Ovis aries: one gene and its partner. The protein of the gene in region 1 purifies or fractionates together with the protein of each later gene. This does not show direct contact. Links are inferred from orthologs where the notes say so. Each region holds a gene or a part of one and is shown on either strand. Other genes may lie near its edges. The genes, in order: OCIAD1 and SLC6A8.

Region 1 (3,808 bases):
CTCCAGTATTCTTGCCTGGAGAATCCCATGGGCAGGAGCCTGGCAGGCTCCAGTCCATAGGACTGCAGAGTCAGACACGACTGAAGCAATTTAGCACACAGGCAGACTAGAAACAATAAGACCATAAAATCAACGGAGATACACGTTGCTTTATATTTTATTTACCATAAACACTAAGAGAATACAGCAAACACTGGAGAAAGGCATTTTAATAATTTTGATGTAAAGTTTAACACTTAAAATTATGCTTGCTCCCCACCCCCACCCCAATTCAACATGCAGGTATCATTTATTTCCAGATGCAGTGATTGTAGAGCATTACATTCTCTTGAAAGTTTTATAACAGAGTATCCTTGTCCTGTAACTTAAAACAATTTCATAAACTATGTATAATCATGGTATAATAACATCATTCAAAGAGTTTCCCAAATGACTATATTCACACAATATTAATATTGAAGTCTTGAGTTTTTAAAACATCATCTCAATAAGCCAAACCACAAAAACCCAGGTTCTAGTTTTAAATGTGTTTATGAAGACTGCTGCTGAGCTCAAAGCATGCAGATGTTCATGACCACCTAGATGAAGCTGGATACTGAAATTCCTTCAGTAGGTCCAATGATGCAATTTTTCACTCATCCCAAGTATCTCCATATTTGTTTACTTTGACTAGGAAAAAAGCACAAATAATTGATGATTCCAAATAGTAATAAGTGAAAGGAACTGTTTTATGTTTGCTATTATTATGACTTAAATTATGTTTCTCATTTGAATAAATGTACATGAGAGTCAAATTATAATTATAAAAAGGGGCTGGCTAGCCTTTTGTGAACTGGAGGTTTGACATAAATACAGTATCAAGACATTTACATATGTATTTGATCTCTAAAACAACCTGATAAAATAAATATAACCCCCGTTCTAAGGAAAACAGATTAGTAACTTGCCCAAGGTACAAGCCTAATAAAATAGGTAGAACTGAAACGTGAACACAGGTCTATTTAGGTCCAAAGCCTGGGTACCTTTACAACTTTACCATCTAAAGCAAGCATGGTATACATTACAGGATGCACAATAGTTACCAGTAAATGAAAAATAAAACAATAATGAATATTTGAATGCCATTTTCCACAGAAATCTCAGATTAGATTAATCTCTCTTAGGAGATTAATACCAGTACAAGGAGGAAATGCTTTCCAGTATTTTTGTATTTTATGTGATATTATATTTTGAAATATGTTCTTCTATCTTTTCTACTCTTACTTTTTAGCCTGTCTTCTACACAGCCATCATCTGTGAATTATAACTCTTCGGAAGACCCAAGTATTCACAACAATGTCAAGAAGCAGTTATCAAAGTATAAGGGGATTCCCTTCCTCAAGACTTTTTCAGTGAAGTCTTTAAAGTCAAAATTATTTCATTATTATACTAAGACATTGTTCTGCTTTTCCCCCTTGCTCTTCTTCCCTTATGTGTAGAAGGCAGTTTTCACGGAGCTACATGATGTGTGGGAACATCACTGCTGACAGCTAACTGAAAATACGCTTAGATGTTTAAAATTTCTGCCATAATTTCTAACTAGCTAAAGTAACAACGAATATAATCCACATAAACAAAAGCTGAGAATTTTTAAATGACACTTTCTGACCTAGTGAATCTACATTGTACTGTTAATTTTCTGTCTAAGTTCTAGAACAGAAATCACGAACTGTTCATAACTTTTTTCTTTAAATTATATAAAGCACACACACAAAAAGCTTTCTTTTTACAAAGAAAAACAGTTCACATCACTGTATCATGAAACAAAACTTCAAAACTGTTCACAGCCAAAAGCACCAATGTCCAAATCCAGCAAATATCACTCATCTACCATGTTATCTTTTCTTGGTTTTTAGCACTAGAAGGCCCAACCAAAACACAACATTTCTGACATATCAAACAATGGCACTATGCTATGCAGACACACAGCAGAGCAGATTACAAAAATGAGAATACTACCGCCTGCCCTCATGGAGCTTACAGTCTAAATTCTCAAATTAATTAGAAGATCAGAGTACCAGTGAATCTTCACATATTACAGAGGAATAACTACTAAATACATAAGGCTTATGTTTTACGGCAAACATTAACAAGTATTGCTGATTACAAATCTATTTTAAAGCTGCAAAGAACATCAATAATATAACAGAGGTGGATCACTGTTGTAAAATAGGATTAAATGAAACAATTACTACCGATTAGAAATAAAACTAGCTCTAAAGGAATGATCATAATAAAAAATACCAAGTATTTTTAATGTATTTTTGCATTCTCTGTGGTATACTCTCAAGAAGGTACAAAGGACATTTTTGTTCCTTTAATTTTTAAAGTAGTAAATAGAAAACCTTGAAACAATGATATATCCTCTAAAATTCCTCAAGAAAGATATTACAAAATTTTATACTGAAACAGCTACAAAGCCCTATTCAAAATGCCCTCTTGTTACTGACAAATCTTTGGTGTCAGAAAATTTACTGTGGGTTATGCGCAGCTGCTCCAAAAAGTCTTAAATCATGATATTAAAAATCTCTATGTATTAATTAATTATAGAGTGAAGTACTGTTTAGGGGCTTCCCTGGCAGCTGAGTGGTAAAGAATTCACCTGCTAATGTAAGATATGGGTTCAGTCCCTGGGTCAGGAAGATCCACAGGAGGAGGAAATGGCAACCTACTCCAGTATTCTTCCTGGGAGCCTGGTGGGCTACAGGACATGGGGTCGCAACTGAGCAACTATGCACAAAGTACTGTTAAAAGTCAAACTCCCTATTTGGAAATGCCCTAAAAGCTAGTTCATAAGCATGTAACTCTTTCAATTTCATAGACATACAGGACCATCATTTTATTACTCAATCAGGATTCTGTGATTCTGCCAAAAGTGGCATTATCAATCCAATCTGGTTTTATGCAGTAGATACATCATTTTAAAAAATGTTGTCAATTCCCAAGGTGGCTTCTCATACAATCAAATGTTTGTATAATTTCTACATTAAAAATTTAGTCTTACTGTTTTAAGCCATACTATTTGGACTTCATTATTTTCTAACATAAAATGGCTTTTGGAACACTAAAAAAGGAAGAACTGATAACTATTAATAGTTACCATCTTAAAAAATGTTATTTTGGTTAATTGCTTGAGGCATTAAATCACACGTTAGTATAATTAAACTAGTGCTGCAGTTTCTAATTCTAAAGAGTAAAGTGATTCAGACTAGACTATCATACCTTCTTTTTTTGGCATTCTTTCCTGCATAGGCCTGACTGAGGGGTCAGTCTTATGTGTTAAAGTAACTTCATATGACTCTCTGTTCTTATTCCTTAATTCCTCATATGTAATATTTTTTCTTTTAGGACTTTCTTCAATGTTGGGATCAGGTCCTAAAACAACAAACAGTTAATAAATGGTGATAAAAGGATTTGAATAAATCTAAAGCAACTAAAGTTTACAAATGCTTCTTACCTACTAAAAAATTAAAGTGAAGGATCAGATTATTACCAGTATTCCAAAGGTTCTGTATTCTCCCCAAGGTAATTATAAAACCAAAATCTACTTCCTCTTACGCTTTCAAGCTTATATTTCTAAAGTTAAAAAAATATTTTTTTAAACTATCCATGGCCAGAAGAAGGATGGATATAATATATACCAGCACAATTCACTCATTAAAATGCTAGTGTTGCTCTAAACTGGGAGGTTATTCATACAGTTTATATAATTAAAGAGAAATATATTCTACTAGCGACAATTGAACAAAACTAGACATGGTGTAGATTC
Region 2 (4,466 bases), on another chromosome or scaffold:
GGGTCCCATACTCCTCAGTTGCCTGTCTCCCAAGCTGCTTCACTTTGAGGCTGGGCCAGAGCTCCAGATCGGGGCTTCTGAGGAGTCAGGGAACCCTCGTCACCTTGGGAAGGGGGGTTCCCTGAGCCCCAGGCCCCGCCCCCAGCCTGACCCCTGAGACCCTGCCCGTCTCCCCCAGCGGCCAGTCAAGGCTCCCGGAGCGAGCTCGGCTGGAGATGCTGCCCCTCCCTCACCTAACAAGCTCAAGCTGGCTCGGACCGGAACTGCTTTTCTTCCTAAAGCCGCCCGGAAGGCTGAGGGTTTAGCTTAACGGGATGAGCCATCTGGGGACTGCAGGGCGGCGCGCTCAGGGGAGCCTGGGACTGGGGGCAGGGGGTTGGGGGTGGGCACAGCGCGCATCTGCAGCCATGATGGTGACCCCTCCCTGCCCCCTCCTGGGGCTGCTCTCAGTCCTGGAAAATTCCAAACAGGCGGCTCAAGGGCTGCTGGGGAAGCAGCTGAACAACCTGGGTCCTGCTGATCCCTGGGGAGAGAAAAGCGTGGAGCGGAGGCCTTTGGGGGAGGGTCTGTGCACCTGCCAAGCACCAGAGGGCACCCTTACCCTATAGTGCCACAGTCTCCTGCAGGTCGGGCACGTGGAGGGGCCGCAGGAATCCCTCCCACCGTCCACTTGGGTGAAAAAGTGCGGCCTTGTCCATCGGCCAGTCAGGCTTCCCTCGGCCTGTTCAGGAGAGTCAGCGAGTGCTGTCACTCCAAGCGCTGTCACTCCGACAACCGGGACACTGACAGACCAAGGCTGTCTCCCTGGGGGGTGTGGAGGACCCAAGGGCAGGAGACAGGGTCTCAGCAAAGCCCCTGAGCACACCTGGAGACAGACCCCCACACCGCCACCGCAGCCTTTCTGAGGGGGCTCGCTGGGCCCAGTGCTTCAGCAGGTAGAAGCAGCCTGCACCCCTGAGGTGGTGCCACGGGGCCTGAAAGCTGGAGGCCTTGGTACCCAACCTCGGCTGGGACTCAGAGATGGGCCAGGCTGCAAGAAGGAGGTTGGGGCGGGGGGCGCCCCAGGATGTCCAATAAGGAAGCCAGGCCAGCGGCTGGCCTCGAAGCGGGAAGGGCAAGTGAGGTGGCTGGACGGTGCTCCGGGCCCGGAGGAACCCGGGATCAGGGGCGGCTGGGCCCCGGGAAGGAGGCGCTGGCGGGCGCCCCAGGTAGCGGGCGGCCTCCAGCGGGAGCGGAGTCTCTGGCTCTGGAGAAGGGCGGGAGGAGGTGGGCGGGGTGACCAGGGCGGGGGGGCGGGCACCCGGAGGGGGAGGGGGGAGGCCCGTCCGCGGGGGGCGGGGCTAGAGTGACGTCACCCTGGAGACGGTTCATAAGCGGCCAGTAGTCCGGCCAAAGAGGAGAGGCGAGATCAGAACGCGGTGGCGAGTCGCTGAGCTCGCTGCGGCCGGGAGAGCGGCTAAAGCCGCTGCCGCCGCCGCCGCCGCCGCCGCCGCCGCCACTGAGAAGGAGGGGCGAACGCCTAGGCCGCCGCAGACGCGGGAGCCGCAGGCGAGTCGGGCAGCCGCGCCGGGCCGGGCCGGGCCGCAGCGGGGGGGAGGGGGGGAGCGCGCGGGAGGTGCGGGCCGCAGACTCCTGCTCCTGCTCCGGCCGGCCGCTTGCAGACAGGGGGCTGCGGATGCCGCCCGCGCCCCGGCTAGGCTGAGCCTCAGGCCGGGCGAGCAACTGCCGCCGCCGCCGCCGCGGGAGCTGCGGGCAGGAGCCTCGGGAGCCGTCGCCGCCGCCCGATCGGGCCCCGCCGCCGCCCGCGAGCCCCCGGGCCCCCGACACACATGAGATTCTTTAGGCTCACTTTCAAGTGCTTCGTGGACTGCTTCTGACCGCGCCGCCCCCGCTGTCCCGCACCCCGCCCGCCTCCCGCCCGCCGCCCCGACCCCCCGGTCCGGCCGTCCTCGGCCCCCGGCGGGCCCGCGCCTTCGGGGCCTTTATCCCCCCCTGCGCCGTTGGCGACCCCGCGCCTGTCTGCCCGCCCGCCCCCGCGGGCCACCGTGCCCCCGGCCATGGCCAACAAGAGCGCGGAGAACGGCATCTACAGCGTGTCCGGCGAGGAGAAGAAGGGCCCCCTAATCGCGCCCGGGCCCGACGGAGCCTCGGCCAAGGGCGACGGCCCCGCGGCCCTGGGGGCGCCCGGCAGCCTCTTGGCCGTTCCGCCGCGCGAGACCTGGACGCGCCAGATGGACTTCATCATGTCGTGCGTGGGCTTCGCCGTGGGCCTGGGCAACGTGTGGCGCTTCCCCTACCTGTGCTACAAGAACGGCGGAGGTGAGCGCCGGGCCCCTCCCTAGCCCCACCGGGGCAGCAGGGCGAAGTCCAGGGGGTGGGGAGGCCCCCGGGCCGGCGAGGGAGGGGAAGGGCCGGGGGGCCGCCCCTTGCCCGCCGTCGCCGCTCGGTGGCCCAGCCAGGCGGCCACCCCCCTGGCCGGTCATGTGCCTGGCAACGTGGTGGGGGAGGGGGCCTGCGAAGGAAGCCTCGAGCTGTGTCCGCCCCCCACCCCAGCACCACCACCCGCAAGTGACTGGCCACTGAGGTGGCCGGGCGAGGCCTCCCGCCTCGGGGGAGGCCTCAGAGGTGAGGAGCCCTGGATGCCCCCTCCGATCAGGCACACAAGTGGCACATTGTGCCGGCCCCCCACGTGTGCACACACGAACACACACACAATGGGCCACTCTGTCCCTCCCCCTGCCTTCCCCTCCCTTCCCTTCTCTCTCTTCCTCTTGCCTCCCCTCCCCTCCCCTCCCCTCCTCTCGAGCCTGGGCCTGGAACACTGGGTGCCGGAGCCAGGCTTGGGAAGCCGGCAGCCCGGGCCGCCTGGCGCCATTGCTGGACACACTGTATGCACACCCCATGCCTGCCCGCCCCAGCCCAGCTTAGCAACAGCGATGGGCACGCGTGTGTCCTGTGACTGCAAAGCAGCCCCAGGGGGGTGGTGGGAAAAGCCACAGGGACGAGGCGGCAGGCGGGAAACTGAGGCTCAGAGCAAAGGCCTTGGCCCAAGGTCATAGCAGGAGGATGCGGAGACCGCAGGCCCAGCCAAGCGGCAGCCAAAGCTTAGCCTTTTGAGTAGTTGCCTGGTGAGCTGGGGCAAGGGTCGGGGGCCTGGAGGGGAGGGGTCCTCCACCCCCATCCTGGGCGCTCCTGTCTTGTTGTACCTGCCAGGCTCCCCCAACTTGGTCACTTCCTGTCCTTACTTAGCAACCCTTTCAGATACCCTGCACTCTGCTCACTGGTAGACAACTCTACCCACCCACCTTCTTCCTGGGTCTTCAGATGTGCGGGCAAGAGGCTCCCTTCCCTTACCCAAGCCCAGTGGGTCCCCAGGCCCGAGTGCCAACCACAGCCAACAGGCATGAGCATGCACACTCATTCATGCCCTCACAGTTCCTTCCTCTGCCGCCCAGCAAACTGCGGCTCAAGGGGTGGCTTGTATCCACAAGTGCGTGTCTCTGCCGTGCCCGTTAGTTAGCTCACCCTCGGTGAGTAGCGGCCAAAGCCCTATAGGGAAAAGGGGCTCTTAGGAAACCAGAAGGAAATGGGGTTCTGCCCGATGCCCCCCCCCCCCCCCCCGCAAGACTATTCACCTTGGGCTCCTGAGTCAGCGGCCACCCCTTATACTGATTCACTCAGTGGGAAGTTATCATGGCCTGGGTGGAGCCTGAAGGTGGGGCTCCACCCACCCCCCAGGGCTTGGGAAGGCCCTGGGCTGTCTTACCGCACTTGTGCAGTTCTGGTCAGGTCCCCTGCCTGGCCAGGGGGCAACCCTGTGCAAGTGCCCACCTCCAGCTTTGTTCCCCAGGTGTATTCCTTATTCCCTACGTCCTGATTGCCCTGATTGGAGGAATCCCCATCTTCTTCTTGGAGATCTCACTGGGCCAGTTCATGAAGGCCGGCAGCATCAACGTCTGGAATATCTGCCCCCTGTTCAAAGGTGAGCAGCTCTGGCAGCCCCTGTGTGAGCCCTGTGGACCTCTGCCTTTCTCCACCCCTGGGACAAAGATGGTGTCCACTACAGTAAACCTCATCCTGTCCGAGCACCAGGCTTGGCATATGGCCCCCAAGCTGCGAGGACTTGAAGACCACCTACCTGGGTGACCCTGGTGGGGGCAGAGAGGATGGACCTCTCCCCGTCCCCGCCGGGCGAGAAAGCCCTGTCCAGCACCCTTGGGGCTGGAAGGAGGGTGGCTGGGTGTGAGACACGATGGCAGGAAAAGCTGAAGGAGCTGACAGTAGGCTGTGGCACAGACTCATGAAGTGACTGGCTGAGGTTGCCCCTGAGAGGGTGACTGTCTCCCACCCTGCCCCAGGTTCCCAGTTGGGAGGGGCGGGAAACAGGTGAAGGCTTGCCCTTCCTTCACCCATCATGCTGGCAGTGGGACTCTTGACAGGTGTGAGACTAGGGAAACAGGACTTGC

Evidence for each region.
Region 2: the proteins of OCIAD1 (region 1) and SLC6A8 purify together in Homo sapiens (co-immunoprecipitation; 3 studies listed by BioGRID and IntAct, with this or other methods). This does not show direct contact. The link is inferred for Ovis aries from reciprocal best matches to the Homo sapiens genes OCIAD1 and SLC6A8.

Annotation. Positions count from the first base shown.
Region 1 is NC_056059.1:68,188,910-68,192,717, reverse strand, and holds the end of OCIAD1 (OCIA domain-containing protein 1), read right to left. Parts: intron 3,415-3,808; coding exon 3,262-3,414; intron 670-3,261; coding exon 632-669; 3' UTR 140-631; downstream 1-139. UniProt on the Homo sapiens protein: Maintains stem cell potency. Increases STAT3 phosphorylation and controls ERK phosphorylation. May act as a scaffold, increasing STAT3 recruitment onto endosomes. Involved in integrin-mediated cancer cell adhesion and colony formation in ovarian cancer.
Region 2 is NC_056080.1:80,584,437-80,588,902, reverse strand, and holds the start of SLC6A8 (sodium- and chloride-dependent creatine transporter 1), read left to right. Parts: upstream 1-1,396; 5' UTR 1,397-2,057; coding exon 2,058-2,319; intron 2,320-3,850; coding exon 3,851-3,982; intron 3,983-4,466. UniProt on the Homo sapiens protein: Creatine:sodium symporter which mediates the uptake of creatine. Plays an important role in supplying creatine to the brain via the blood-brain barrier.